4 linked regions of the Rhinolophus ferrumequinum genome follow. The protein of the gene in region 1 purifies or fractionates together with the protein of each later gene. This does not show direct contact. Links are inferred from orthologs where the notes say so. Each region holds a gene or a part of one and is shown in the gene's direction. Other genes may lie near its edges. The genes, in order: STX6, VAMP8, STX12 and NSF.

Region 1 (7,502 bases):
ACACTGTCATTAGGAAGAGCATGACAAGTTGGGAAACAGTAGCTTAAGTTTGTCCAGGGAGCTGGAGGACAGGCCCAGACAAGAAAAAGGAAGTGGAGGTTAGTGGGAGAGATGAGTGGAGGCAAGGCCATGAGGAAGGCCTTGGTTCAGGGACCTAGGTTTGCATCACAAGGTCCTTATAAGAGGCAGGCAAAAGTGTCAGAATCAGGGAAGATGTGACCTTGGAAGCAAGGTGGGAGTCGTGCCATTGCTGGAAGGGAGCCAAGGAATGCAGACAGCCTCTAGAACAGGATGGAGAAGGAACAGCTTCTTCCCACAAGCATGCAACCCTGCCAACACTTTGATTTTAGCCTGTGAGACCCACTTTTGGACTTCTGACCTCCGAGCTATAAGAGAATAAATTTGTGTTGTTTAGGCCGCTAAGTTTGTGGTAATTTGTTATTGCAGCAATAAGAGACTTGTCACTTGTTGGGATTTCACAGTACTATTATCACATACACATAATCACCAGTAGTCCTCTTGAGCCATCCCAAGTAAACCTCTAATTTAAGAAAAGACAGTGGGTCTGCCATGTAACTTCAGTTCAAGCCTCCTCGCCCTGCCGTCTGAACTTTAAGTTAAATTCTAAAGCCTGCCCTATGGAGAAATTCTGGAGCCACTTCTGAAGGTTATGTATGTATGTTGCTCAGCACAATGTCTGCTACATACGTAGTAAGTAATTGTTAACAATCATTGTTACTGTTGTTATTCACTACTTCACCACCAGAGTGTGGTTGTTCCTTCCCTGCACACCAACAAATTCATAGAGATCGTAAAGAGCATAACTGTCCTCCTACCCTGGTTCAAATTCACTGTTTCGTCAAGAATTTCACTGAATTCCAATAACATATTTTAACTTTTAATACTTGCCAATATCCATTCATTTATACATTTCTAACTTGCCTGACTCTAAAATTAATCATTTAAAACTGCTAACTTTTGTTGTAGTTTCACATACGTGGCCACAACTTTCTCACTTCTCTTATTTTTTATTTTTATGTTTTTATTTTTTGTATTTCTGATGATCCAGGTAAACATTTCATTATGCTAAACTTTAAATACATTTCTTTTTTTCTATGTATAAAAATGAACAGAGTTGAAATGATATCATATATACAATTTTGTCTTGCAATCTTCCATACATGTCATTACATACTTCAAAATAACGTTTCTAATGACCATCAAATGGATTTTTCATAAACTCTTAATCACTTTCTAGTGTTGGATATATAAGTTGACTAGAATTCCTCCTTATTTTAAACCAGTGTGTAGAGGGTAAGGATAGAGGTGCTGGTAGCAACCAAGGAGAGGGAAGGAAACATAACCAGTGTGTGTGGGTCGGTGTGTGGATGGACACTTTCTGTAGCTGGGGCTGGGAAACGCAGACAGCCACGGCTGGATCAGTGGAAGCCAATGTGAGCGAATGTTTCCTGGAGTATTCCAGAGCACGCATATGTATTTCAGGGTTTTTAAAAGACTGAGATAATGATGAAGAGTATAATACCTAACGTCTATGCAACACTTTTCTCCCTTACTCAGTGTTATTTCAAAAAGGATGCAGGGTGAACTCAGCAACAACAAAATCTGAAACAACCCAATTAAAAAAAGAGCAAAAACTTCAATACATTTCTCCACAGAAGATATACAAATGTTCAATAAGCCCATGAAAAGATGCTTGCATTTTAACTATAGCTTCCTTGTTCCCGGGGCAGTGGAGGCCAATGTCTTGTTTGGGTTGAGAGAGGGTGAAGGAGGGTGACATTAAAGGGACACCCCATACCCTCCCACACACATTTCATATCTCAACCCTCCAGTATGTCTGTTGCTGGTACTTTTACAAATCCCTTATTATGAGAATTCTCCAAGCCTCTGTCCTCTATCTTCTATGCTTCTGCTTTGTTTCTGACCTCTCATTTGTGGTTTAACTAATAAGCTCATGGAATAGATAACCAGAGGGTATGCTACGCATTGAGGTAAAATAATATTCTCCCCTCCCTCCAGAAGCTTCTAGTTCAGTGAGAAAAACCAACGTGCTAGCAGCTAATTTACATCCACCCTCCATCTAATTCTCCTCCTGTGTTCTCTTTCCTGGTGATTGGGACTAACAACTACCTACGTACTTCCAACTCCAGAAAGGCCTGCAAGTCTTCCTCCCTCTGCTTTCAGCAACCCCCTAACACCCTGAACCAATCAGTCACCAAGTCCACTGACTTTGCCTTTAACGTATTCTCAAAAGCATCCCTCCTCTCCATCCTATTTGCCATGAGCCTATCTCAAGACACCCTCATCTCTCCTCCTCTAGACCATGACCTCCCAGTTGACCTCCCAGTCACCACAGTGTCTGTCTCAAATGCCAGTCTGACCCTGCCAATTCCCTCAGCTGCCATGATCTGTAGGAGAGTGTCTACAGTTCTTAACATCATAATCAAGGGCCCTGATCATCTGACCTTGTCAGACTCCAGCCTTAGCGCCTCTTGTCACCATCCTGTTCCTTACATGCCAGCATCACCCTCTGCCGTGGCTCCCCCACAGGCTGCAATGCAGTCTCCTGGCTGCCTCCAGTCATTGCTTAGAAACAACCCCCCCCAAATTGGTATCTTGTCTTTGTGTTTCTATGGCAACCTGTGCCCTTCTCTCATTGTGTGTAACTGCCTGTTTTTCTCACCGGTCTGAGAGTTCTTTCACAGTGAGGACCAAGGCTGTTCTTCTCTGTGTCTTCAGCACCTAGCACATAGTAAGAGCACACAGCGCGTGCCAGGCACTGTGCTAAGCACTTTTCACACATCAATTCATTGAATCCTCATGACACCCTATGCAAAAGGCATTATTATGGTGTCTACTTCAGGACAGTGAGAGAGGAAGCTCAAGACAGAACAGGAAGTAGCAGAATTGGGATTTGAACTCGGGCAATCTGGCTCCAAGTGTGGCTCGTAGTCACTATGCTGATCTGCCCCTCAATTTACATGTGTTTGTTGAAGGAATGAAAGATGATGATCCTTTTCCACCTTCCCATCTCAATATGTCCATAGCCAAATAAACAGTTCTCTCCCGATAGTTTCTTTTCCCCACTGGTCCTCCAGGTCTCCGAGAAGCCTGCACTTACACCTGTCTCCTCCCTAACCCCATTCAATCTCTCATGATGTCTAGGTGTTTTGTTTTGTTTTTCCTTGGAAACATCTGTCAGATTCATCCTGGTCTGGTCCTCATCCCTTCAGACCAGGTGAGCACAGCAGCTTCCGGACTGGTTTCCCTGATTTCACTACCTTACTCCGTTGGGGTCTTGGGCGTGTACCTGCATTTTCATTTAACCTTCATAACAGCCCATGAAGTAAATATTCTTCTTCACCTCTTATAGATGAGGAACTGAATAATAGAACCCTGGTTCAAACAGGGTTTGTCTGGCTCAAAGGACTCTTCCAACTCCAAAAAGATTGGTGACATTGGGCAAGTCACATAACCTCCAAGAGTCTGAATTCTCATTTGTAAAATGGGGATACGAACAGTAATTACCTCATTGTGCGAGCAACTGAGATGACAGCACAGTGCCTGACACACAGTAACTGCTCAGTGATTATCAGCAATTGAAATTAACAACTCACATAGCACATCTAGCATAAGAGTTGGCTAATTGTTCTGACCAAAATGCTTTGGGAAGAGTTCTTGAACCATAGCTGAGAGCAGGTTGCCATACTTGGCCCCTTCTTTGTCCCTCAAAGGTGCTCTCTCCTGGGAAGCACCATATGCCGTATGAAAAAATTACCTTACTAATTACTTGCAAAATACACAGCAAAAGAAAATACACGCCAGTCTGGTTAAAGGTGGACAGAACCTGGGGCTCTGCCCTGTCCAGGCTGTGTGACTACAGGAAATCTTGAAACCGTTCTGAACTTTTCTCTTCTATAAAATGGGGATAAGAATACCTCGTCCCCTACACGATACATTGAGATAATGCATAAACAGCCTTTATCCCGTTGCTGGACACATAGTAAGACCTAAAGGAATTGTGCAACATTGTCATAATTAGATCATGTACATGAGCACGCTTTACGGTAAGTCGAGGACGAGATGGATTTATATGTTATCAAAAGCAAGTATTAAAAGTACGTAGAGAAAAGTTATAAGGATTGTGCAATTCAGGTACTACCTCACATCCTGAAAACCTACCTGTCTTCCTCGGAGAGAAAAGGTGGCTCCTCCCCTTGAATCCTGAGGGGCGGGTTGAGAGAAGACCAGCCCCTCTCCTTCGCTCCTAGAGCCCCGCCTCCAGGGTCCAGCGACGCTTGCCTAGGCTCCGCCCACGACGGGGCGGGGGCGGGGGCAGGTCCTGGTCACGTGAGCTCGGGTGCGGAAGTGGTGCAGCGGGCTGTGTTCGTGGTTGGCCGAGGCTGTGGGCGGGGGCGGGGTCAGGCCGGCCGGACCAGCGGGAGGAGCTGGGGGAGGAGGCAGCTGCGGGGGCCGGCGCCGGAGTCTGGGATTCGATCTGCGATCCCACCGAGTGCTGGACCAGCCGCGGGCTGCATCACCCCGGCCTGCGCGCGCCCGCTGCTCTGGGATCCCCAGGCTGAGGCGCCGGCGGCTGCGGGAGGCCCGTCGGGTGGGCGGAGGGAGGATCGGAGGGCGCGGGCGCCCCGTGCGTGGAGCGGGCGTGAGGCGGCTGGGGGCCGGGACGCCATGTCCATGGAGGACCCCTTCTTTGTGGTGAAAGGGTGAGTGTCGCCGAGAGTTCCACTGAAGGAGGAGGTGGCGATGCTGCTTGCCCGCACCTCCCCGCTCTCCTTGCTGGAGGGGGAGGGGAGACAAGTTGAGGCTGGGGAGGGGATTGTGGGGACGGCTTAGCCTTCAGAGCCTTGACCAAGAGTCCAGAGACATCCCCTCCCCGTCTACCTGCACTGTGAAATCCGTGCCTCCAACCTGGGGAGGGGGTCCCCTTTGGCCTGTGCGCTGCGGTGTAACTTATTTGGGGGTCGAGGAGTTCAGCAGCTCTGCAGGTGGGTAGAAAGACGCGGGTCCCAGCTCTAGTGGAGCATGAGGCCCTGCTTCGAAGGAGGGAAAACAGCATCTGGGCAGGAAAAGGGAAATGGCCCTCCTGAGCTTTGTAGTTGGTGTTGACGGGGGTGAGCTCCCATTGTCCATTGAGATCGGAGCGCTGGCCGGCAGACTGGTGGGACCACAACCGGCCCGGAGGCGTCCAGGCACGTTTGCAGGCTGGGAGGCTGGGGAGGATAGCTCCGGAAGACAGCTCAATTCAGTGGGGGAGTTTTTATTGAGTAATGGGAGGGGAGGAAAGCAATCGTTCATACTCAGTGATGATGTTGGAAGGAAAACAAAATGAAATCAGCCAAACTAAACTTCCCTCGGCTTCCTATTAGCACCGGGATTTTCCCACAGTGCGAAAGGAAACGAGTGCTTTCTTTTCAACTCCCTGATTTCATCCAGGCTATTTGACAGGTTTCCCTACTTGTTTTTCCCTTTGAGCTGTCCTGACTCCATCTTTGATTGTTGGATTGTTTGGCGATAGAAACTTTAATAGCACTTTGTTACTGTATCGGTTTTGTAGCCATTAAACAAATGCAAGAAAGATGGATTCTTACGTTGTTACCACTTGTCAACTTTATGTTTTAAATGTCAAACATAAATTTGAGAACCACAAAGTTCCTAGATGATCAATACTGAAAATCATAAAGGGTCCCTTTGCTTTCAAATAGCTGCTGCTTACTTCCTATTTGGGGAGTGGTGAAAGCTGACCAGGTACCTGGGTGTTTATTTATTTTTGTAAGGGTTCTTAGAAAATTTAAATGGTGCTTTAGGTGAAATACTTTATTATCTATGATACAGTAAATATATTTATACGTTTCTTAATGTTTCCCTAAAAAGGTTTTTCTTCACCTTACTTTAATTGTTTCCCCAGTCTTGATATGGTTTCTTCTTTATAGCCTTCGTTATAGAACTTCTGTTCAGCTAGACTTCAGGTGGTTCTGCAGGTTGATTGTTCTATAATTTAGGTGTAATTTTAATGTGGTCACGGAAGGGGGCAAGCACAGCATTTATCTACTCCACCATCTTGGATCCCCCTTCGACCTCACTGTCCTTTAACGTAGGTGGGAAAATGCCGAATTGTAGATTTTTTAGTAATATGTGGCTCTCTACCCGGAAAATGTGTTATTTGTTAGAATCGATTTAGGGATTAACTTTTAAATGTTAAAACTGTGTGTTTTCCCCCTGAATGAAAGTTGCAAAGGTTATCTCTGGCCATGGAGACCAGAGAGAATCAGAAAAATTTTGTTTGCTTGATTTTTAATAGAATTTGTGAAAATGCTAAATTGCTGTGCCATCTGGACTTTTTTTTTTTTTTCCCTGAGAGTATGCAAGACAGTCTGTGCTTTCTCACTGATTAGCTATCACTGCTGTATTGGAACATTGGCCTGGAGTCTTGGTTGATTTTGACATCATTTTATTGCCCTTCACGTATCTGAAGGAAATGAGACTCTCAATATCTTCTGCTGTACAAAGGTAAATTTAGCCACATACAGTCTGTCAGACTGTATGTGTGACAGACTACTCGAGGAGCCTTGCACCTCTATTTATTAAACGTATTGAAAACACATCACACGATGTAGAAAAATTAAAGACACCTAACTGTGGCCCTTAGCCTAGGAGCTGATAGTCTAAACTGAGAAATAACTGCCCACAAAAGCAAGTGGAAATGATTGAGGACTGAGGGGAATGCTAGAGAAGATGGGTGACCCAGGAGTTTGGAGCAAGGTGACTCATTAGGGATGAGTAATGATTGGAAAAGCTTTTGGAGGTAGTAGTAAATCTTGAATCAGGTTTTGAAGATGGGTAGAATTTATATAATTCAGGCCTGTGTCTCATCTGGACTCTTACCAGAGTCTCTAATTGGTCTTCCTGCTCCCAGTCTCTTTCCTCTCATCTGCCCTGGGTTCTGTTGGATCAGTGTTATACAAAATATAATGTGAGCCATATATGCCATTCTACATTTCCTAGTAGCCACATTAAACAGCAAGAAGAAATAGGTGAAATTAATTTTAATGTCATCCTTAACTTAATAGATTCAAAATATTTTAACATATGATTAATATACAGATTAGTAATGAGATATTTTACTTTTTAGTACGACGTCTTCAAAACCTGGTATATATTTTGCACTTATGGTACATCTCAATTTGGATGTGAAATTTTCATCAGAAATACTTGATCTGTGTTTATTAAACTTATAGTTGAAAAGGAGATTCATATACCCAAATTGTTCCCAACATTGTTAAACATTTTCCGGTAACTGAATTGCATATCAGTTTTTAAAGTTTAATTTAAATTATAGTTTTAGTTCTTCAGTCACACTAGCAAATTTCCAGCGTTCAGTAGGCACATGTGGCTTCACAGCTCCATGTGGGTAGCACAGGAGTAAGTTTCTGGACTCTAAGAAGGGTTTCCCTACTTACCGT
Region 2 (6,838 bases), on another chromosome or scaffold:
GCTAATAAATGAACGCCTCTCATCTCACGATTTTAACTTGATTTTGTTCGAGGGGTTGGTCTCCAGTTACTCTGTCAGGATGAATATACAGACTCACGGCATTAGCATTCATTTAACAATAAAATAGTCCAAAATTTAGGTAAGAAATTTCTTCATGGATCTCTTCTAATAAAAATTGTTTTTCTGTCTGCACTGCAGAGAAAGAAGTCCTCTTTCAGATCTTTCAATTCAATACCCCAAGCATTTAGTGAGTGCCCACTCTGTGCAGGGTATATGTTATTTTCTATGAGGGGTACCAAAATAAAGATAGCCCCTGCTTTCACAGAATTTAGAATCCTGGAGGAGTCAAGTATGTATCAGTTAATGGCAAAGCATATTATAGATTCTATAAAAGATAAAATGTTGATGGAGATCAGAAGGAAGAAGTCAACCTCAGTGGGGAAAGCAGGAAGGCTTCATGGAAGCAATGTCTTTTTTTTTAATAAATTTTATTGGGGAACAGTGTGTTTCTCCAGGGCCCATCAGCTCCAAGTCGTCCTTCAATCTACTTGTGGAGGGCGCAGCTCAGCTCCAAGTCCAGTCGCCATTCTCAATCTTTAGTTGCAGGGGGTGCAGCCCATTATCCCACGCGGGAAATGGCAAACTTGTTGAGAGCTCGCGCTCTAACCAACTGAGCCATCCGGCCGTCCCTCTGGAAGCTCAGTGGCAGCTCCTTGGTCTTCAATCTAGTTGTGGAGGGCACAGCTCACTGGCCCATGTGGGAATCGAACTGGCAACCTTGTTGTTCAGAGCTCGTGCTCTAACCAACTGACCCACCTAGCCGCCCCTGGAAGCAATGTTTTAAATATGAATAGATTTTCTGTGGACAGTGATGAGTGAACCAGAATATTCACTCATCATGAGAAAGGTCCACCTGGGCAAAGCTATAAAAGCGGATGGTGTGTTTGGGGAAGGGTGTGTAATTTGGTATGACTGGGGTCTGGGAGGTGAGTCACAAGGGAGATCAGTTTGGAAAAGCATGTTGAGAACAGTCTTGGAATGCCAAGCTTTGGAGTTTGGGCTTTACCCTGGAGGCAGGGTGGAGTATCCTCAAATCTTTGTTTTGGGAAGATAACAAGTGGAATGGAGGAGAAAAGAAAAGGTCAGTTTGGAGGTGGATGGAATTGTCCAGAGATGACATCATGCTAGCGTTACCCAGGAAGCAAGAGCTGGAAAGGAGGGGGTGGATATGAGAGACATGCATGTGTAGGATGTCATTGCATGTGTAGGATGTCATTGCATGTGTAGGATGGCTTAGGGATTCCTAGCTTGGGAAACTGGTAGACTATGAGTACTTACTCCCCAGGAGGAAGAATACGAGGAGAAGATAAAGGAGTTGGTTTGGCTATGGACTGTCCAATGCATTGGAGAGGCAGCAATGGCAATTGGAGAGAGGGCAGGACTGGAGATACAGATTTGGGGATTGTCCATTAATCGCTGTTGAAGGCATTGCACTTCCCTAGGGAGATAGGGTTTTTCAGCCTTGGCACAGAAGACTGGGATATATACCAATGTACCCCAAAGTTTGCCTGATTGCTGGCTGTTAATATTCTTCTTCCCCTATTTTCTGATTTTTCCAGTCATAATTCATGTCTTTCTCAGTGCTACTATAGCACTTTGAACTTCATTTAATACTTTCTACATTCTATTATTATTCTATTATTTCTATATTTTACTACTGTTTCCATAGTAGTTTGTTTCTGTAGTTTGTCCAGTTCTTGGTACATAACAGACCATAAATGCTGAACTTAATGGAATCATCTAATTTTGAGTGATCTTTGAAGCACCTAGTCCACCCTTCAAAGCAATTTTGGAACTCTTTTTCTGGAATGGCCATCAGAGCTGTCGTCATATTACCCTTGATGTCCTTACTGTCATCAAAATGTCTTCCTTTCAATATTTCTTTCATCTTTGGGTAAAGAAAGAAGTCATTGAGGGCCAGATCAGGTGAGTAGGGAGGGTGTTCCAATACAGTTATTTGTTTACTGGCTAAAAACTCCCTCACAAGACAGTGCTGTGGGAGCTGGTGCATTGTTGTGAAGCAAGAGCCATGAATTGTTGGCGAAAAGTTCAGGTCATCTAACTTTTTCATGCAGACTTTTCAGCACTTCCAAATAGTAAACTTGGTTAACTGTTTGTCCAGTTGGTACACATTCATAATGAATAAGTCCTCTGATATCAAAAAACGTTAGCAACATCGTTGCATCAAGTTTATAAACTTAATTGTCAGACCTCGTAGATCAATGTGTGTAATAGAAATATAATTTGTGCACTTTTGTAATTTAAAATTTTCTACTAGCCAAATTGAAGAGAAAAGAAACAGGTGAAATTAATTTTATCAATTTTTTTTTATTTAACAGTACTGAGGTGCCAAAAAAATGTATACACATGACTTGTATTTATCTTTTGTTATCGGTATATATTGAGTATTACAATTTTAATACGGTTTTCTCCTTTCTTAACATGTGTATGCATTTTTGGGCACCCTCTGTATATCCAAAACATTAACTGACATGTCATCAATATACAAAATTACCAATGGGATATTTATGTTCCTTTTTTCATAGTAAGTCTTTGAAATCCTGTGTGTATTTTACTCTTACATCAGATCTCAATTCAGATCCATTTCAAGTCTCAACAGCTACATGTGGCCAGTAGCTACTGTATTGTATTGGACAACACAAATGAAGATCAAGATTTCTGACCTGCCTCCACTTGGCCACACTGTAGCCTTTCTCAGGATGGTGAGGAGTGGGACAGGCCACATTCTCTGTGAGAGCAGGCTGGGATTGTCCACCAAAATTCATGTCTGCAAAACATAAGAATCTTATTTAATTGGGTATAAGATTTCATTAGAAATTAGAAAAAAGTGTCTCAAGGTGCTACAGAGGCCCAAAACTTATTAGACCCTTTAAAAAGTATTTGTTAGAAAGGCTGACATTTTCCTCTTGGAACTGTTATTTCTGAGATGGGACAGGTATGTTTCTCTCTTTCTGCATGTCCCTGTTATTGTTCTATCTTGATAAATACCATCCGGGAAAAGTGAATTTTCTCTGGCCTAGAGCCAGGTAGGTGGAAATCCCTTGCCCTGGGCCCCCTCTCTATTCCACAGGGCAGCCTTCTCACCTTTTTTGACGGGACTTACCAACCCTGGTAGTGGTGGCCCCTGAGAGAAATGCAAGATTGTTGACCTCTGGAAGGAAAGGAGGGGTTGGTGCGCCATCGTGTTCTTATTCTCGCAGTGGACAGTCCTTCATTCCAGGCCCTGGGCTAGACACATTGCAGGGACTCTCCTTTTACTCCTCTCCATCGCACTCTGAGATCTCCTTAGTACCTGCAAAACCCAGACAGGTTCATTCACCACAGTGTCACCCAGCGAGTAACCCAGAGCTTTCTGACACTTGAGCCCAGGATCACAGAATTCCAGACTTTGGGGGGATTACTGCTTTCTGTCCACCCACAGACGTGGAAGCAAGGATTGTCCAGCAAGCAATGTTTATATCTCCTTTCTGCTTCCATGTGAAGTAGGCCTGGCATGGTGCTTACAGTTGAGTTCAGTCTCTAAAAATTGGGGTCAGATATTCAGGACATAAAAAAGGAGCCGGCTGCCCTTTCTATATCAGGGGGTCCAGCCTCAGAAAACCTGGGAGGGCTGTTTCCTCTTTTTTTTCTAGTTCCTGACGAGTTAGAAGACTTCGGGTGCGGGGGAGCCCTGTTGCTTTAAGCCTCAGCCCCGTTTTGGGAGGAGACTGGGAGGGCAGTGAAGGGTGCCCGCCTACCTGGGGGAACCCGCGTAAGGTGTGGCTGGATCGGCATGGGATGCGAGGTGAGCAAGGGGCGGGCTGAAAGTTGGAGCAAGCAGGAAGTGAACTGAGGGCCGCCCCGGGAGGAAACAGACTAGGCGAATTCTACAGCTGACAGGCCTGAGACGCTGAAACATGGTGAGTGAGCTGGGAACTAGGAAGGGGCTGATTTAAAGACGAGCCAGAAGGGGCTGGGGATCAGGAAAGTGGAGTTAATGGCAAGTCCGAGGGCTGGGGCAGCGCTGACTGTGGCCTCTCTTTGACAACTAGCTGCAAGTAGCTCTGGGCTGCCCAAGCTGTTGTTCCTGATCCTTCTCTACTCCCTTCCTCCCGTGACCTCAGTGCTGGCCTGGAGCAGGGTTTCGGTGCGGGTGGAGGATCCGAATTCCAGGCAAGGAGTTGCCGAGAGGCCCTTCGTCGCCTCCTCCAGGCCTCCTGCCCTGGGCCAACTGGGCGTTGTGAAATTCCTAGGCAGCGCCTCTACTGTTCCCAGCGCAGATTCCAGCCGAGCGGCCAGCGCTCTCCCCCTCTGCCGTTCACTTCATCCCTGTAGGGAAACCTAAAGTTTATCTCTCCAAGGAAGAGTCCAAGGAATTGGCCCCCTTTCCATAAACTTGAGGAAGAGCTAAGGGTTTGTAAAAGAACCAGAAGTCGGCTCTCTGTGATAATTTAGTTTGGACCCACACCCTAGCCTGTTTCTGGAGATCCAGTGGATCAGGGAAGCGAGGAGCTTAGTAACGTTTCCCCTTCCCTGTTCTAAAACCTTAGGAAGTCTCGGGTTGAGGCATTAAGCAGGGAGGACTTGCCCTCCATTTCCCCCAACGCCCAGACTGCTGTTTTTATTTAATATCTGCTTAAGTGGCGATGGTTTGGTGCCTGCGCATGGTGCTAAGTGCGGCTGGGAAAGCAGAAGTTTGCGGCCCAACGGATCTCTCTCATGGGGCCTTGAGAGGGACAGGGAGCCTCGCCGGCCGCTGGTCCTCTGGGGTCACAGGAATTAGGCTCCCCGGGAGGCGCTGGCAGACTCAGCTCTCCAGCTGCTCTCTTCGAGAGACAGAGGGTTGGGCCAGGTGAGGGGGTTCTACTGGCCAGCACAGACGTGTCCAGGGAGGACCCGGCGGGATCTGGGAATTGGTTAACTAGTGGTGGGGTTCTGCATTGTGCCATGCAGCTCAGCTGTCTTCTCTGTTCCTCTTTGACGAGTAAGGAAGCAATGGAAAGGGATTTGGTGGTGTGCTTCTTCTCCTTGTCAGGAGCCCTGAGAGTCTGAAAAGAAGTTTGATCTGGTCTAGCATCGGGACTTAAAAATACATTTATTTTTGATTTTGTAAGTTGTCCATGAAAGCATTCTCTTTGTAAACAGTTCAAGCATTACAAAAAGCTAAAGTCTACCTTAGCCCTTCCCCTCTTCCAGGCTCTGATGCTGAGTCTCTGTTCCTCCACCATTTGGCCTAATTAACCCCTGTGTTGCTGCCCAGGAGGAGGCCAGTGGAGGTGGAGGAAATGATCGAGTGCGGAACCTGCAGAATGAGGTGGAGGGAGTCAAGAATATTATGACCCAGAATGTGGAGCGGATCCTAGCCCGAGGAGAAAACTTGGACCATCTCCGCAATAAGACAGAGGATCTGGAAGCCACAGTGAGATGGGGAGCCCATGGGGGCAAGAGGAAGAGAGGGAGGGAGGATCTTTGGGAATTTGGGGGTTGGTGGTGTTGGGGGCAAAATGAACAATTGGGAAGTCTGCCTGTTCACCTGTTTTGGGAATTGATGTAAGCTGAGTCCCCACTTCTGATCCTGTCCTACTCCACCAATTGGTACTGGCTTCCAGGGAATGGGTCCAATGACTGGGGCTGGGGGTCAGGGGCTGACCCACGGAGGCATTTTCTGAGACAGAGAGATGGTGCAGTGAACGTAGGCATTTGTAGGTTTGTTTCTCTCTTGTGAAACTGATTTTCCCTTTGAAGGCTGCCCTTGACAATCATGTGAACATAACCTCCTCAGGGCAAAATACTGGCTCTGGAAAATCCTCCCAGGGCCTTTGGCCTTCTCCAGGAGTTATTAGGCAGGGGGTGGAAAACTGCTAGAGTCTTGCTGAGTCAGCTTAAAAAAAGAAAAAGCTGGGAAGAGCAGTGAAATTCTTTGATGGGGTCCTCTGCTAGCTGAAAGCTAGAATAATATCTCCTACACATTTTGCTAGACTCATTCTTCCCTCTGCCCACCCAGGGACTGAAGCCAAGCCAGCTGCTGAGGGAGGGAGTAACTCTAAAGTCCAACAGAGGCTGCAGCCTAAGTTTCCATGTCCGCAGGGAGACACTGGCTGCAGCCTTCGGAGTCCTGTGTGTAATCTTGAGCATAACTCCTTTGTCTCCCTGGGACTTATGCGTGTTTCCACAGCCTAACCTGGGGAGCACGGATGGCCCCGTGAAATATAGTTTCTGCAACTCCAGTTGGGAGAGGAAGAGCACTTTCCCTCACTTCCAACCACTGTATTGCCCTGGTCCCTCCTCCAACTTCAACAGTCCCCATGGGGCAAGGAATCCTGGAACCAGGGAACACACGTACCCACCTGGGGCCTATCCCCCTCAGCCCCAGTGTCTGCCCTCCTAAGAGCAGATTGTGCTGCCAGTGTCGCACCCCTGGGTGTGAGCATGTGTAAAAAGCCTCTCAGTGTGTGTGACAGTGCAGGGGTAAGAAGAGTAGAGGGTAGGCAGGGGGCCAAGGGGAGCCCAAGAATTCTAAATGTAAACCTGGCCCACCAGATAGTTATGAAGGTACATTTGTCAAGGTAGGAAGACAGGACATTTTCTATTCAACAGCCTATTGTCTGAACTTACCACTTCAATATTTAGGGGTATGGCATGTGGGCCTCTGTCTGGACTCTTGTTCCAGTGGGAGGAGGCACTGAGTCCTTCTACCTTATCCCCTACAGTCCGAGCACTTCAAGACAACATCGCAGAAGGTGGCGCGGAAGTTCTGGTGGAAGAACGTGAAGATGAT
Region 3 (7,165 bases), on another chromosome or scaffold:
TATTTATTTATTTATTTATTTTTTAATTGGGGAAGGGGAACAGGACTTTATTGGGGAACAGTATGTATTTCCAGGACTTTTATTGGGGAACAGTGTGGTTTTTTCAAGGCCCATCAGCTCCAAGTCAAGTTGTCCTTTCAATCTTAGTTGTGGAGGGCGTAGCTGAGCTCCAAATCCAGTTGCCGTTTTCTTTTTTTTTTTTTCCAATCTAGCTGGGTGGGGGGAGGGGGGCGGCGCTCAGCCCACCATCCCTTGCAAGAGTCGAACTGGCAACCTTGCTGTTGAGAGCATGTGCTCTTAACCAGCTGAGCCATCCAGCCACCCGGAAGCTCAGCGGCAGCTCGTTCTCTTCACTCGAGTTGTTGTGGAGGGCACAACTCACTGGCACATGTGGGAATCGAACCAGCAAGTCTGTTGCTCAGAGCTCGCACTCTAACCAACTGAGCCATCTGGCCGCCCCCTAATTTATTTTTAATTGTAGTTGACATGAGCTCTAATTTTAATGCAGTCTTCTTTGCAACCTAAGTGAATTTCTCCATTGACCCTTCCCTACCTTTCCGCAGAAAGCTTGCCATGTTGGTTATAATGGTACTTTGTACTTAAAAGGTAAAACTTATTTACTGAAGTATAGCATACATACAGAAGTGGGCATTCATCACACATATCTGACTTGATGAATTTTCACAAAGTAAACACACCTAGACGATCACCACCCAGATCAAGTAAGGCTGCTACGAGCTTCCTACAAGTCTACCTCATGGGCCCATTCCTAGTCATCCCCTTTCCACCCCGGAACTAACTACATGCTGTTCTGACTTTTAATAATCTAGATTAATTTGGCTGGGTTTGAACCTAATAAAAAAAGGGATCATACAGGATATACTCATTTTTGTCTGGCTTCCTTTGCTGTACGTTATATTTGGATGAGATCACCCACATCATTCACATAGCAGCAGGCCATTTAATTTTATGCTCTATAGTACTACAATTTATCCATTCTGCTGATGGACAGTTGTTTCCAGTTGGAACTAGTAAAAAAAGAAATCCTGCTCTGGCCTTCTTCGTGCCTCAGACTGGAAACAATTTGAATGTCCATCCATAAGAAAGTGAATAATCAAATTGATAAAATACTATTTAGCAATAAAAAGGATCAAACCACTGATATATGCAGCATCATGGATAAATCTCAAAAAACATCCTTAATTCAAACAAGCCAAACACTAAAGGATACATAAAATATGATTTCATCACTCTGAAGTCCAAGAATAGTCAAAACTAATCTGTAGTGATGAAAATCAGAAAGTGATTTCTGTGGATAAGTGGAATTAATTAGAAAGAGCATAGTTCGAGGAAACTTGCTGGGGTGATGATGAAAATGTTCTATATCCTGGTTTGGGTGGTAGTAACCTGGGTATGTACAAGTGTCAAACAAAATTCATTGACTTGAGGGGTGGCCGGATGGTTCAGTTGGTTAGAGCACCGGCTCTTAACAACAGGGTTGCGGGTTCAATTCCCACATGGGCCAGGGAGCTGCGCTCTCCACAACTAGATTGAAGACAACGACTTGGAACTGATGGGCTCTGGAAAAACACACTGTTCCCCAATATTCCCCAATAAAAAGTAAAAAAAAAATTCATTGACTTGAACACTTCCTATCTATACATTCTATTGTATGTCAATTATGACTCAATAAAAATTAATACAGAAAAATGCCATTTAGTCCTAAAAAATGCTATTATGAACATTCCTATATTTGGTTTTCGGAACACATATGTGTGCATATCTGTTGATTATATAGTTAGGACTAGAATTGTTGAGTCATAGAATACGTGTGAATCACAGCTCTGTAGCTTCATATCTGTATCACATTGAGCAAGTATCCAGAACCTCTACAGAACACAAGTTTCCTTATCTGTTACCAAGGAATTAATCTCACCTTTATGGTGCAAACCATGAAAACTGTTTTTGTCAATTAACAAAAGGACATAATGCTGAGAAACTTTATTCTCTAAAACCACAGATTTTCAGAAAATGTGCTAATTGAAATATCAATAAGAATTGAATATTCCACTCGACTGGAGAATCTGAGTTACTCTGACACAGAGAAACAGCCTCAGTTTTCCAACCCAGATGCAAACCTTCAGATAAGGGCTTTCCAGGTACAACATTCCACGTTAATCTTCATGTTGTAGTTTCCAAGGAAACAGGATTTTGAGTCCTCTTATCAGCTCAGGCCTGATGAGAATCCCTTTACACATAGCCTGGTGTGCTTTGAGGCTATATCAAAACACCACATCTTTTCTCCAAATCCTAGAATAACTATCTCTTTCTGTGCTTGGCGGGATGCCCCATGATTCCTCTGGTGTGCAGTCTGCCTTGCAGCATTAAGTTAATAAACCTAACTTTGTCAGACCACAGGTGGTCTTTATCACATGGGCTTTATCTTGGGGATTACTGATAAATGTTTGTACAATTTGTTCACATTGCCTGGATAGGCATTTAAGAAATGGTAGTTATTTTTAATTATTCATCTATAAATCCGGTAAATGTTCATTTGACATCTAGTATTTGCAAGGTACAAATGTATTGCTATGAGAGATAGCATAAGGCACAGCCATCTTTTAAAATTAAAGTGGTTTAAAATTAAAACCACTTTTAATTTTAGGTGGAGAAAGAAAACAACAATAACCAATGTCTTCAGTTGCTAGGAGAAAAATACCTTTACTGAACTTCACTTTGCATAGAGTGAAATGTAAATGAAAACATTCTCAAGACTATTTTAGAGGTGAAAAAAAAGTACAATTTACATAATTTGCTGTAAGATTTGACATAAAACTATGGATTCTGAGAAATGGTAGGGTTTTAACCAGAATGAGAGCCCCCAAATGTCATCTGCCTCTTTTTATAGAGGAAAGAAAAATGCTCTTATAAATGCTCCAACGAAAAATAGAGATCGACTGGCTTATAAAAGCTCTAAAGCTGAAAGCAGGCTCATTCAACCATTTGGGGTCCCCTCCCACACAGGCAAGCAGCTTCCTCTCTTTACCATTCCCCAGAGATTACAAAGCAGGCTGGGCTGGGGTGGAGAACACAAGAAACAAACCTTGCCAGTTCCCCTTCACTTCTCCCTGTCTTGATCTCCCAAACTCATGTCTTTCCATTTACCATAAGCTCACAAAATGCAGTCTTCTGTGGGAACACTGAGGTCATATGCTCCAAATTACTTAAGGAAATTATTTTAAAAATTCGAGGGTCTAGTTCTCCAAGAAATCCTGGTTTGGGATATAAATGAAAACGTTATTTGGGAGGGATTTAGATGGAGAATGAATTTTGGAATATGAGAATGGGTTTTAGGAAAGTAGGGAGATGATGATGCAGTTAGCTTAGTGTTTGGGTTTTGCAGTCAGAAAAGCAAACTAACCTCTGTGGGCTTAATTTTTTCAATTGTAAAAGGAAAAATAATAACGCTTCCTTTGGTCAGTTACTTTATTTCAACATTTAAAAAATCGATTGTTCATTATCTATTCTGAAGGCAAAAATATAGTTAGGACATGGTCCCCTTGCTGTGAAAGAGCTTATGAACAATTGAATTGCAGTGAGGATTCACACATAGTACGTGATAAATCTTCTTATTATTTTATTGTTTGATTAGAAGAGGGGTGGAGGGAGAAATGAAAGTGGTTTGTAAATCGTAAAAGTGCTCCGCTACTAACAAAGCGGTAGGTAAACGAAGTACAGTGAGGAATTTCAGAAATTTGGTTACGGATCTGAGTTTCAACGTTATCATATACTCCCATATTTGGGCCTGAATTCTCAGAATAGAACAGAATAGGATGTTAAGGCTGAGATCATCTGGTACAATTTTATGCTAATCGAAAATTCTTGCCTCCTGTCACCGAGTCCTGGCGAGAAACAACACAGCCACCCCAGCTCCACCAATCCCAGCTTCAACGGTGTGACGTCATCGCCCCGCCCCGCATTCCCAAGGCCCAGGGCGTCCAGTCTCTAAGCTACCGTCTCTGGTCCCAGCGGCAGCGGCGCATGCGCACTGTGGGGCAGGGCGGGGAGGACGCGTGCGCGCTGCGTGGGGGCGGTGCTAGTGCGCACGCAGCCTCGGCCCCGTCCCTGCCCTTTTTCTTCCCGGTTTCTCCGTCACTCTGCGGTCCGGTTTGGTAGCTGCTTCCGGTAGGACCCCGGTGCAGGGCGAGTCGGTCTCAGCTGTTCGTCATGTCCTACGGTCCCTTAGACATGTACCGGAACCCGGGGCCCTCGGGCCCCCAGCGCCGGGACTTCAGCAGCATCATCCAGACTTGCAGCGGCAACATCCAGCGGATCAGCCAAGCCAGTGAGCCTGGGGACGGAGCTGGGGGGCGGGGGCCGTCCTGGGGACAGGCCTGGATGAGGCTGCCGGGACGCGGAGCCCGGCTGGGGCTGCGGCCAAGGCCACACCTGAGGCCTTCTCAGCCTTTCCAGTCTGGAGGCGGCGAGCTGCCATCCCGGAGTCTGTCAGGGCCGGGCTCCCCCGAGGGTTCCGAGCCCCGGCTGGAAGCTCGAGTCTCGTCTTAGGAGTTATGCCCTCACGGTGTTGGGGCATAAGAGCAGTGCTGACAGCCCCAGGTGGGTGGGGGTATGTGTGTCACCCCGAGAGCAGTCAGTAAGTTGACTTGGCGCAGTGGTCAGCCGAGTATTTCCTGTCATCTGCCTCCTCCCACCCCCGGCCCCACCTCTCTTTCCTCTTTGGCCAGTTTGCATCGGGAGTTGTTTACTGTTTGAGACTTTAGGTTTACATTCTGCTCAGTTTCTGGCTCCTTGGAAATCAGCAGCTTTCAATTAAGGGAAGTGGAGCATGGATGTGTTTGGATGACTTAATACACAGTTCTTCCTTTAATGAATTTGGAAATCAGATACAGTGATTTGTATTTGAGGAGTAAGATGACTTCTGTTTTAATAAAGAGAATTCACCGAAAACATTTCAATTTACATTATTTTGTCTCTTGTAACAAAATATCTGCATATATTTTTGGTTTTCAAGCTGATGGAGCTTTTGTTTTCCTTTCCTATTTAGCTGCTCTTGAACACATGTGATACAGAGAAGCTCAGGGACTTGGCCACAATCACATAGCAAGTAAGACGTAGTAGAGCTGGTGGTGGATTTCAGGATGTCATTGCTTGTCTTAAAATTCTGTCCCCACCAGTAGGGTCTGAGTGAGACTGGCTGAGTGAGTCAAATACAGGCTGTTTCTTTTGCCTGGAAATCAGCTCAGAGCCTTATCAGCAGGAGGTCAGCAGCAGCTTTACTTGGAAAAAACGGTCACCATCGTTCATGTTGTTTATTGTTGTGTTTTTGTGTACTTGGCTGTACTTTGTGACTAGGTAGACCTAGTTGGTCTTGAATTACAATTACGTTCTATATTTTAAAAAACAATCTTATCACTTTGCTTTTAAATTTAAATACTCTTATATGATGTAGAATTTGAGCAGCCGGAAGTTTCTGATGGGAGGGGATTGAGACTGGGTGATTTGAAAGTGGAAAGAAGAATATGTGGCCTGTTAAATCCAGAAATTAAAAAAAATAATATGACTACTGGTTAGAAAATACAATACTTTGTGTTCCAGTTATTTTCGTGTGTGTGAGGGAGCTATAATATATGTTAGATCAGAAAATTGAAGTTCAAGGCTAGAAGTTCTTTTGAGGCTAAATCTTATTTTAATGTCTATTTGTGAAATCATTCTACATATATTTGAGTATCAGGCTATGTAGTAAGTAGTATTGAAACTGCATGGATTGTTTCAAAAGGGTTTCTGTGGAGTACATAATAACTGAAATATAAAGTTAAAAGGGAGCAATGCTATAGAAGAGATATAAACAACATGTAGGTATTCGGGGGAGATAGAGATCATTTTCAGTTGGGAAGGGTCAAGGAAGGCATTATGGCATTTGAGCTAGGGCTGGAAAGATGCTGGGAAGGATTTGAATTTTTGAGGGTAAAGAACAGAAGAGCATTCCAGGAAGGAATAAAACGAACAAGGCCTGGTAGTGGGAAAGCATCGGGTATTATACAAAAGTAGAGTGATTTAATTTGGCTACAGTGGTGGACTTCAGAAAGTAATGGAAGAAGATAGGGTTAGAAAGGTAAGTTGGGGCCCAAACAGGATGGACTTTAAGTGCTAAACTAAAGGGGTTTGGATTTAATTCTTTAGGAATGTGTAAATTGAATTGGGAGAGAGACACTATAATCAGAGACACCAGTGAGGGACTGTGAAAATAAAAAGGAAGGAAAGGATTGGAGAGGTTTCTTTGTTGATAGAATTGATAAAATGTAACTGTTAAGTGGGCATTGGGCTCAAGGGATCATTGGAGTCAAGTGAGTTGACTTGGTGCAGTGGTCAGAGGAGTATTTCCTGTCATCTGTCTCCCCCGCCCCTTTGGCCAGTTTGCATCGGGTGTTGTTACATAATGTTAAGAACATTAATGTGGGTCCATACTGTGTGCCAGGCAGCATGAAAAATTATTTGCATGCATTACCTGACTTAATTTTCTAACAACCTTGCAAAGTAATTACCAATATTATTTCCATTGTGTAGGTTAGGAAACAGACTGAGAAAGGTTAAGTACTTACCCTGCTAACAAATGGCAATACCTGAATTTGAAACCACATCTCTTATGATCAGCAATTAACCTTTTTATAATTTTTAATGAGTATTACACATTTGTAGCAGTTACAAGTGTGTTGTTTTTTTTACTCTCCGTAGGAAACTATGAGGAATACCTGAGGCCGTCAAACTTTGTCCTCTTGTGGTGTGTCTGCCTCCCCTGTTTGATTGTTAGTTCTTCTGAAGCATGGGACATGACTTAACTCATCTTTATATTTCTAGTACTTATGTCAGTCCAAACATATGATAGATTTATTCATTCACTGTTCAGCAAATATTCTTTGAGCACCTGCTATGCACTGGTGGAGAAACAAGACAAAGAACAAGACAGACAAAATCCCTTCCCTGATCGTGTGTGTCTGTGTGTGTGTGTGTATATATATGCACACATGCAAATACTATGTAGTAAATCAGTACTATGAAGAAATAAAATAGGGCAAAGAGATAGAGAGACGAGAGAGAGGGTGGGTGTGCTCTTTTAGATAAGTTGGCCAAGGAAGGCCTCGCTGAG
Region 4 (7,273 bases), on another chromosome or scaffold:
CATAGATGTAAAGTTGTTTTGCCAGCAACTATGAACATTGTTTGAGTCATCCCCACCTGCAAAAAAAGGTGAAACAGCAAAGATAACGTTTTTACCTACTATTGTTTGTACCTATAGAAGGAATATTGGGGCTAGTAATAGGGCTTTATTCCTCCACGCCTCACAATCTGAGAATATGCATTGTTTTCCCAAGATATTCATCGTGCCTACGAATGAAACAAAGTCCCTACCCACATGACACTCATTAAAGGATTACAACCATATAAACAACACATACATTTTTATATACATTGTTTTAAATACAACATTGTGTATATATACATTGTATATATATACATATATACATATATACATATATATATATTTGGGAAATTGTATATAAAACAATGTATATATACAATGTTTTATATACAATTGTTTTATACATACAAATTTTTTAATAATAACATGCATGGGGAATACATAGGGGAGGACTAAAAGAAAATAGACCTAATTTATTGGTGACTGTATTCAAGAAGTGGGGTTGTGACTTCTTTTAAGTTACTGAAAGAAAATATTGTACTGATTTTATAATGCAAAACTCAACTTGCTTTTTCAAAAATACAAAACTGATGATTAGGAAGGAGGTTTAATTGAAATCATGAAAGCTGTTCAGGGGAAGTTTATCAAACTCAACTGTGGTGACTCAATAAAAATAAATTGCTTATGGTGATATTGATTCAGTGGGGTTTTTTTTCTTAATTGAAAACACTTCTTGTCAATATAATGTTATTTGTACAGCATGGAAAGTACAAAGTGCTCTTGGGAGAAGCAGAGATCATTTCACTCTGAGAAACATCTTATTTGGAGATAGTTCCCCATCTCTGAGTTAGACTGTACAATTGGTTAAGTGCTATTAGCATTAGTTATAGTACTCTTGGTAGTGGTAATATCTGCTGTGTAACCACTGGGTCGGGTGCTGAATGTGTTATGTATCTATGATAATTATCTAATTCTCACGTGACAACATTTGAGTTTATAGAGTTTAAATGTTGCACAGTATACCCAGAACACCTTCCATCAAGAATTACTGAACTTATCCCTCTATTCTGGTCACACTTCTGCTCAAGAGATGTCTTCTCCCTCTCTTGGAAAGCGCTGCTGTACATATTTCTTGCCCTAGAAACAGCCCTTGGGTAAACTTGCCCTTAGGAGAAAACTTAAGACATACCTGCACTTTTTCTCAGGGGCCCTCTGGAAAGCTGTCACAGGTAGCCAATATAGTCATCCCACTCAGCTATGGTTTGTGGGCCTCGAGTGTCTTAATGTTCTAGGAAGTGCAGCTACTCCCAGGAGACTCTGACTTCCTTTTCTCAAGATGCATAGAAGTTCATCAGGCCGATATCTGAATAATCTCTCTTCGGAGATGCAGGCAGCTCTCTGGACTCATGTTAGTATGCAGGGTTAGGCAGCCTGGCAAGTGCTTTGGGGCTTGCACTAAAGGATGGTCTGGTTTCCATAGCAACATTCATTCCTTTCCACGGAGGATTCTATCCTCTTGCCCACTCAGAATTTTCAAATAAATTGATTTCAGTGACTATGGGTGTTTGTCCATGATCCTCTAAAGAGAAAAAACCTATTTAATAATACTACTACTAAAAATAAGCCCAACAAAAAAAAACCTGACTGCAGCTAGAATGCTGCATTGCATCAGCTGATCTTCTGTTCTTTCACAATTCCATATCCTTTCTCCATTTTGTTCGTTCTCTAGCCTTATCCATCATTTTGGGAAATAGGTTTCTCTGACAGAAAACAAATAGATGGCAACGCTGTCTCCCTAAAACTGGCTAAGATGGGGCTGTAAAATGAAGTTTTCAACAAGGCTCCCTGAAAGCCTGGCCTTAGGGCAGGGGTGGCTAACCTGTGTGTGGAGGGGCAAGAATAAGGACTGCGATCCACTTACCGCTCACAATAGAGAAGTCAGTCTCTGAAATTTGGCAATTAGAGATTTGTTTCCTTAGGTTAGGCATTGCTCTCAGGCAGTACTCCTTAAATTGCATTTACTCCTGGGAAGAGTGATATATTAGGTTACTAATGCTAAAAGAACTTGGGAAAGAGAGGAGGTGGTGCAGAGCGAAGGGTACAAAGGGGCTCTGAAGACCACCTTTGTCTGCTTCACAGTGCCATCTTCTCCAACAGGGGTGGTGCAGGTCCTTGCCTGGGTTCTGTGCTCCCTCTCGGGAGGGCAGGGTACCTTGTCTGACAATACTTCCAAGGCTGCATGAACTGGGGGGAGCAGTGACCAGAAAAAGGGAGACAGCAAAAACAGGGGGACAATTATCATTGCAAGGGTTGCTCAGAAGGTGATGCCGAATCAGCTCCACTTTGTTTCTAAAACGACCTTGACTATCAGAGCAAGGCACAGATGGGATGGGCAGACATGTGATGACCTGGAGAAATGTCTCAGAATCTTCTCCAGCTGGATGCTAAGCACCTTAAGGACGGAACCTCCTCCGATTTCTTTAGTAGACACTGCAGGGCTGTGCACATCATTCTATTGCATTTATACAACTTGACAGAGGATACAAAGGGCTCCTTATTATGGGTAGATAAGCTCATAAACTGACACACAGGAACCTCTCCAGCAGACCCATCTTTCCTAAGTGATAAATATTACTCCTGGGTGGAGAGATTAAAGACATTTTCCCTTATAATTTAGTTTTCCTAGTAACAAACTTGAGGTATAAATACGTTTGCATTATTCTCTAGCCTTGAAAATAATGTCAGATCACTGAACTGAGAGCCAACGTCACTTTTTGGATTTGGTAATTATTTGAACAACAGCTCTTTGATTTCTAGATTCAAATTCAAAGTATCAAAAAATGTAAGACACAATCATTAAGTTCATCTAATTACTACATCTCTCACTTTACAAATAAAGAAACAGGGGCTCAGACAGGTGAAGGGACATGGCGAGTGACTTGCAGAGAAAGAGAAAGGGCAGAGAAAGAGAAAGGACAAGAACCTGACTCCCCATCCATCCTAATTGTTTTTTATCGCTTTGCAAGTTAATACGAGTGGATCAGAGTTCAAACAGTTCTTTCCTCATATACTTTCTGATCCACCTGTGATTTAGTTAACATCTGATTTGCCCAACAAAGCACTCTGGTTCTCAGGTACAGTGTGAGGGTTTACGAAACTGGCCTGAATATTTTCTTCTGTCTCTGGCCCATCTTCAGGTCACTTACTCATTTATTAGTTCTTAATTTTAAATTGCTAAGCATGCCCAGCTCTTCTAATTTATTTTTCTTTCCTTTCCTTATGCTGGGAAAAACTATTTTTTCTAATTAACTGTGAGAAATGAAAGATAATAAATCCTACCGTTTCTTATTATCTTTTGTAAATATGAAGAGAACTATGAGATAGCGGGGACAATAAAACCATCAGAGAACCCATTTGGCAGAATCACTCTTCTTGCACGATGCCATCTGATGATGACCAATTCTGAATTTCCAGGGAGGAAATGGTGCTGTAGAAAGTGAACAACATCGAGGTTAAAAACAAAAAGACACAATTTAGGGCATATTTCATTCAAAATCCACTACATATACTGCCTAAAATGAAACGACACTGGGGAATGACAAAGATTGTTAAAGACACAAATTACCTTTATAAATATTATATTTAATAATAAAATAAAATAAAAATAAAAATAGGAAATAATCACAACTCACTTTTAAATTAGAAGAATATTAACTAGTTTTCCAGGCTACACATAAGCTAAATACCTATATATGCCAACTCTGAGACTTTCCAGCCCCTAGGAAAACAAGTCTGCCTACAGAAAAAAAGCCTGAATTCACGCAGAATTTAAATTTAAAACCAACCATTCATTACTGCTCTTTCTTGGGGGCAGGCCAGTACCCGCGCTGGGTGCTCTTACATTTTTAAATTTCAGTGGGTCTGGAAGCATAAAGCTACATAAAGACCATTAAAGGGCAAAGAGCAGCGGGCAAAGAGATAAGCAGGGGCTCACTGATTAAAACCTCAAAGGCCTCGCTACAAAGTCAGGCGCAAATGGCCAGCTGTGATGAGATTCGAAAAAGAAGCCCTGGAGAGAGAGACTCGCGGGCGGAAACGTAGGCTCCAGAAATACAGTCACTGCACCCCCGCCCCCAACAGCTCCCGTTCAAAATGGCGCCCCCGCCCCACCCACCCCTGGCGGCCGCCGCGCCCGCACGCGCCCTGCGGGGACGCGGCCGGGCGCGCGCGCAGCATTACGGGGGCTGCGCGCCTGCGCGAGGCCGGGCGGCGGGCGCGCGCGCGGCGGGGGCGGGCTTTGCATAGAGCCGAGCAGCAGCGGCGAAGTCGGACGTGTCCGCGAAGATGGCGGGCCGGGTGAGTGCCGGCTCGCGAGCCGCGGCTAGAGGCGGGGGCGCCGGGCTTGCGGGCACTCGGAGGTTCAGACGGCCCCAGGAGAGGAGGAGTGGGTCTGAGCAAATGGCTTGTTGGAGGGGGCGGCAGGGCAGAGAAGGGCTTGAGGGCGAGAAGGGGGAGCGGTGGCAGGGGAATAGCCCTCCTCATACACTCCATCCCCCCAAGAAAGCTCCAGGGGAGGTGAATCCCTGGCTTTCCGGATCTCTCGCGTCTCCTTTAATTCTCCTTTTCCATCCCTTGGGGCTGTAACTCTCGTCCCTCAAGGCGGCCGCAGGATTGTGGCCGTCCCAGCCCCGTCTGATGGACTCTGGGGGTTTCTCAGTACCCCCTTGCGGGGGCTTATTAGGTGCAGCCTCGGAAATAACTGCGGGGGCTCCGACTGCTGCTTTGGGGCGAGAGCTGTGGGAAGGATCATTAGGAACCCATTTCTGGTTCTTCACAATAAAAGGTCTTGGGAAAGGAGGAAGGAGTGCAAATGACTTAGTGTTAAACCCCGGCCATCTGGGGGATCGCCACTCTTGGATCAGACAGGAATGCCTTCAGCTTGCAGTGGGGATTTGGGGTGTCGCGTTTTGCTTTTATGAATGACAGTCACTTCGAATGCAGCAGGATATGTTATAGTTTCAGGGTTTTAAATTTTACTTCCTCCTTTAGCTTGTAAGATCGCGGTGTAGTATGGGCTTTGGCGAGGGGAGATAGGGCTGGTTCAGCGCTGTACTGCAGTGTGCGTTGAGCTAAAAGCTCTCTGAGGGATGGATCCGTCCAGAGACTACACTCGTCATAAACCTGGGGACATTAACCTGCGTCATTAGGGGATAGGGATGGGCTTGACTGATTATGCTAGAATATTTGAATAAGTTTGCATAGATTTATGCATATATACAAATGTCCTACCTAAAGGAAATTGTCATGAGATTCCAGAATGAGAAGAGACCTTGAAGGTCGTTTATTTCGACCTTTCTCTTCCTTTTCCCCATAGCCTCTCCTTTTTATCTATGGCTATTCCCTCCACCTATGCTTCAGATTCTGTCTTTTCCCACCTCCTCAGGAACCCCACTCCTGTGTATTCACCTGCTCCCTCTTACTCAAGCTCCAACTAAAAGCAAACCCTTCCTCCACTTCCACAGCTGTCACCTATTCTCTTCCCACTTTACAGCCAGAGATGTTGACAGAACTGCCTCCACTTATTGTCTCCCATTTGTTTACCACCTACTCTCCATTCAACCCCCCACAGTCTGATTTCTGGCCCTGTCATCCCATTGACATGTGTCCCTAAACTTAATTGACATTTTTCATTCCTTGTCATACTTGATGTCTCAACCGCATGTGGCATTGTTGACCATTGCCTCCTTCATGGAAAACGCTCCTCTTATGGCTTCCGTGAAATCTTGCGCCTGTTTTTACTCATACACCTCTTTTGCAGACTCACCCTCCTCTGCCCGGTTATTCAATGCAGATATTCCTCAAGGCTCTCCTCACACTATTTTCTCCTCGGACAATCTAGTCTAAGCTCACAGCTTCAACGATCTATATGTCAATGTTTCTTAATATTTTACTCCCAATCCAGACCTATCCTTTAAGTTCCAGCTCAGTATGTCAGACTGCCTATTCGAAATGAAGGCATGTCAAATTCAGCTTGTTCAAATCCAAACCCATTATGTTAGCCCACCTAATGAGTGCTTTTCCTGTGTTTCCTATGTCAGCGAATGGCACCACCGTCCATCCACTATATAGGCTAGAAACCTGGGGTGGGGTGTCATTCTTTATACCTCTTCATCACATCCCCCAGTGACATCAGCACTGAGTTCTATTCCTCCCCCACCCCAAAGAAAGGTACTGAGGTCAAAGAATCTGGCTTGGGGCATTGCTGCTTTATCCTGTACCCACGTCAGCCACTGGGCTGGTCACTTGGGTTCTGTCATTTTAACATTCTAAACATCTCCAATCTGTCCACCCCTCTGAAGTCTTCATTTTCACTTCCTTTTCCCACACGACTATCATTTCTGGTATGAACTACTGCGGGAAGCTCCTGCGTGGTCTCCATACGTTATTCTCCACATCGATTATTCCTCCCATGTCCGTTAAACCCCTCCCTCAAGAGCATGCCGGTACTTTTGGGAGAAGACCAGATCTGTAACCGGGCCTGCAAGGTCCTTTGTGGCTCTGCCCCTGCTTCTCTATTTCCCTCCTTACTCTCTATGCTCGGGTTATAAGCCTTTCAGTTCTTTGAACCTACAGTGGTTTCTCTTAGCACCAGGTCTTCTCATGTGCTGTTTCTTTCTTTGTGATGTTTTGCTCCCAACCAGTTCCCTCCTCACAGATCACTCAGCTACTCAAGGGAAGCCTGTTCTGATCCCACGTTACAAGTCCGGATCCTTTGAATTATGCTCTTGAACTGTATTTCTTTTCTTAGAGATTTATCTGTTTGACATTTTAAATTTATTAGTGTGATTACTTGCCCCTATTATTAGAATTTCCCTTCCAGTAAAGCAGAGACCATGTGAGTTTTTGATTCACTGTCATCATCTGTGCTTTGCAAACTGCCTGGGACCTAGGTGCTCAGCACATTTTTGTTGAAAATGAATCTAATCTCTCTTTGAATACTCCAGTGATGGGGGTGCATCGCCTTCCATAAAGCTAGCTCATTTTACTGTCATGTTAAGATCTTTTTTATATGGAGTTCCATGTAACTTTTATACATAGATATTTCTACTGTTCAGACTTAGCTACATAGAACTAAACACAATTCCTTTTCCACATGATAGCTCCTCAGATATTTGAAGACAGGTTACATATTCCCTCCCTCTGTTTTGTAGATGTTTCTTCTAAGATGTGCTGAGTGGACAACAGTGATTAG

What was found.
Region 2: the proteins of STX6 (region 1) and VAMP8 purify together in Homo sapiens (affinity purification with mass spectrometry; 3 studies listed by BioGRID and IntAct, counting the BioPlex papers as one, with this or other methods). This does not show direct contact. The link is inferred for Rhinolophus ferrumequinum from reciprocal best matches to the Homo sapiens genes STX6 and VAMP8.
Region 3: the proteins of STX6 (region 1) and STX12 purify together in Homo sapiens (affinity purification with mass spectrometry; 4 studies listed by BioGRID and IntAct, counting the BioPlex papers as one, with this or other methods). This does not show direct contact. The link is inferred for Rhinolophus ferrumequinum from reciprocal best matches to the Homo sapiens genes STX6 and STX12.
Region 4: the proteins of STX6 (region 1) and NSF purify together in Homo sapiens (affinity purification with mass spectrometry; 3 studies listed by BioGRID and IntAct, with this or other methods). This does not show direct contact. The link is inferred for Rhinolophus ferrumequinum from reciprocal best matches to the Homo sapiens genes STX6 and NSF.

What each region holds. Positions count from the first base shown.
Region 1 is NC_046305.1:13,349,967-13,357,468, reverse strand, and holds the start of STX6 (syntaxin-6), read left to right. Parts: upstream 1-4,483; 5' UTR 4,484-4,710; coding exon 4,711-4,745; intron 4,746-7,502. UniProt on the Homo sapiens protein: SNARE promoting movement of transport vesicles to target membranes. Targets endosomes to the trans-Golgi network, and may therefore function in retrograde trafficking.
Region 2 is NC_046296.1:8,755,606-8,762,443, reverse strand, and holds the start of VAMP8 (vesicle-associated membrane protein 8), read left to right. Parts: upstream 1-3,833; 5' UTR 3,834-3,977; coding exon 3,978-3,980; intron 3,981-5,320; coding exon 5,321-5,479; intron 5,480-6,770; coding exon 6,771-6,838. UniProt on the Homo sapiens protein: SNAREs, soluble N-ethylmaleimide-sensitive factor-attachment protein receptors, are essential proteins for fusion of cellular membranes.
Region 3 is NC_046292.1:19,033,083-19,040,247, forward strand, and holds the start of STX12 (syntaxin-12), read left to right. Parts: upstream 1-4,157; 5' UTR 4,158-4,227; coding exon 4,228-4,345; intron 4,346-7,165. UniProt on the Homo sapiens protein: SNARE promoting fusion of transport vesicles with target membranes. Together with SNARE STX6, promotes movement of vesicles from endosomes to the cell membrane, and may therefore function in the endocytic recycling pathway.
Region 4 is NC_046304.1:40,681,183-40,688,455, reverse strand, and holds the start of NSF (vesicle-fusing ATPase), read left to right. Parts: upstream 1-4,260; 5' UTR 4,261-4,365; coding exon 4,366-4,377; intron 4,378-7,273.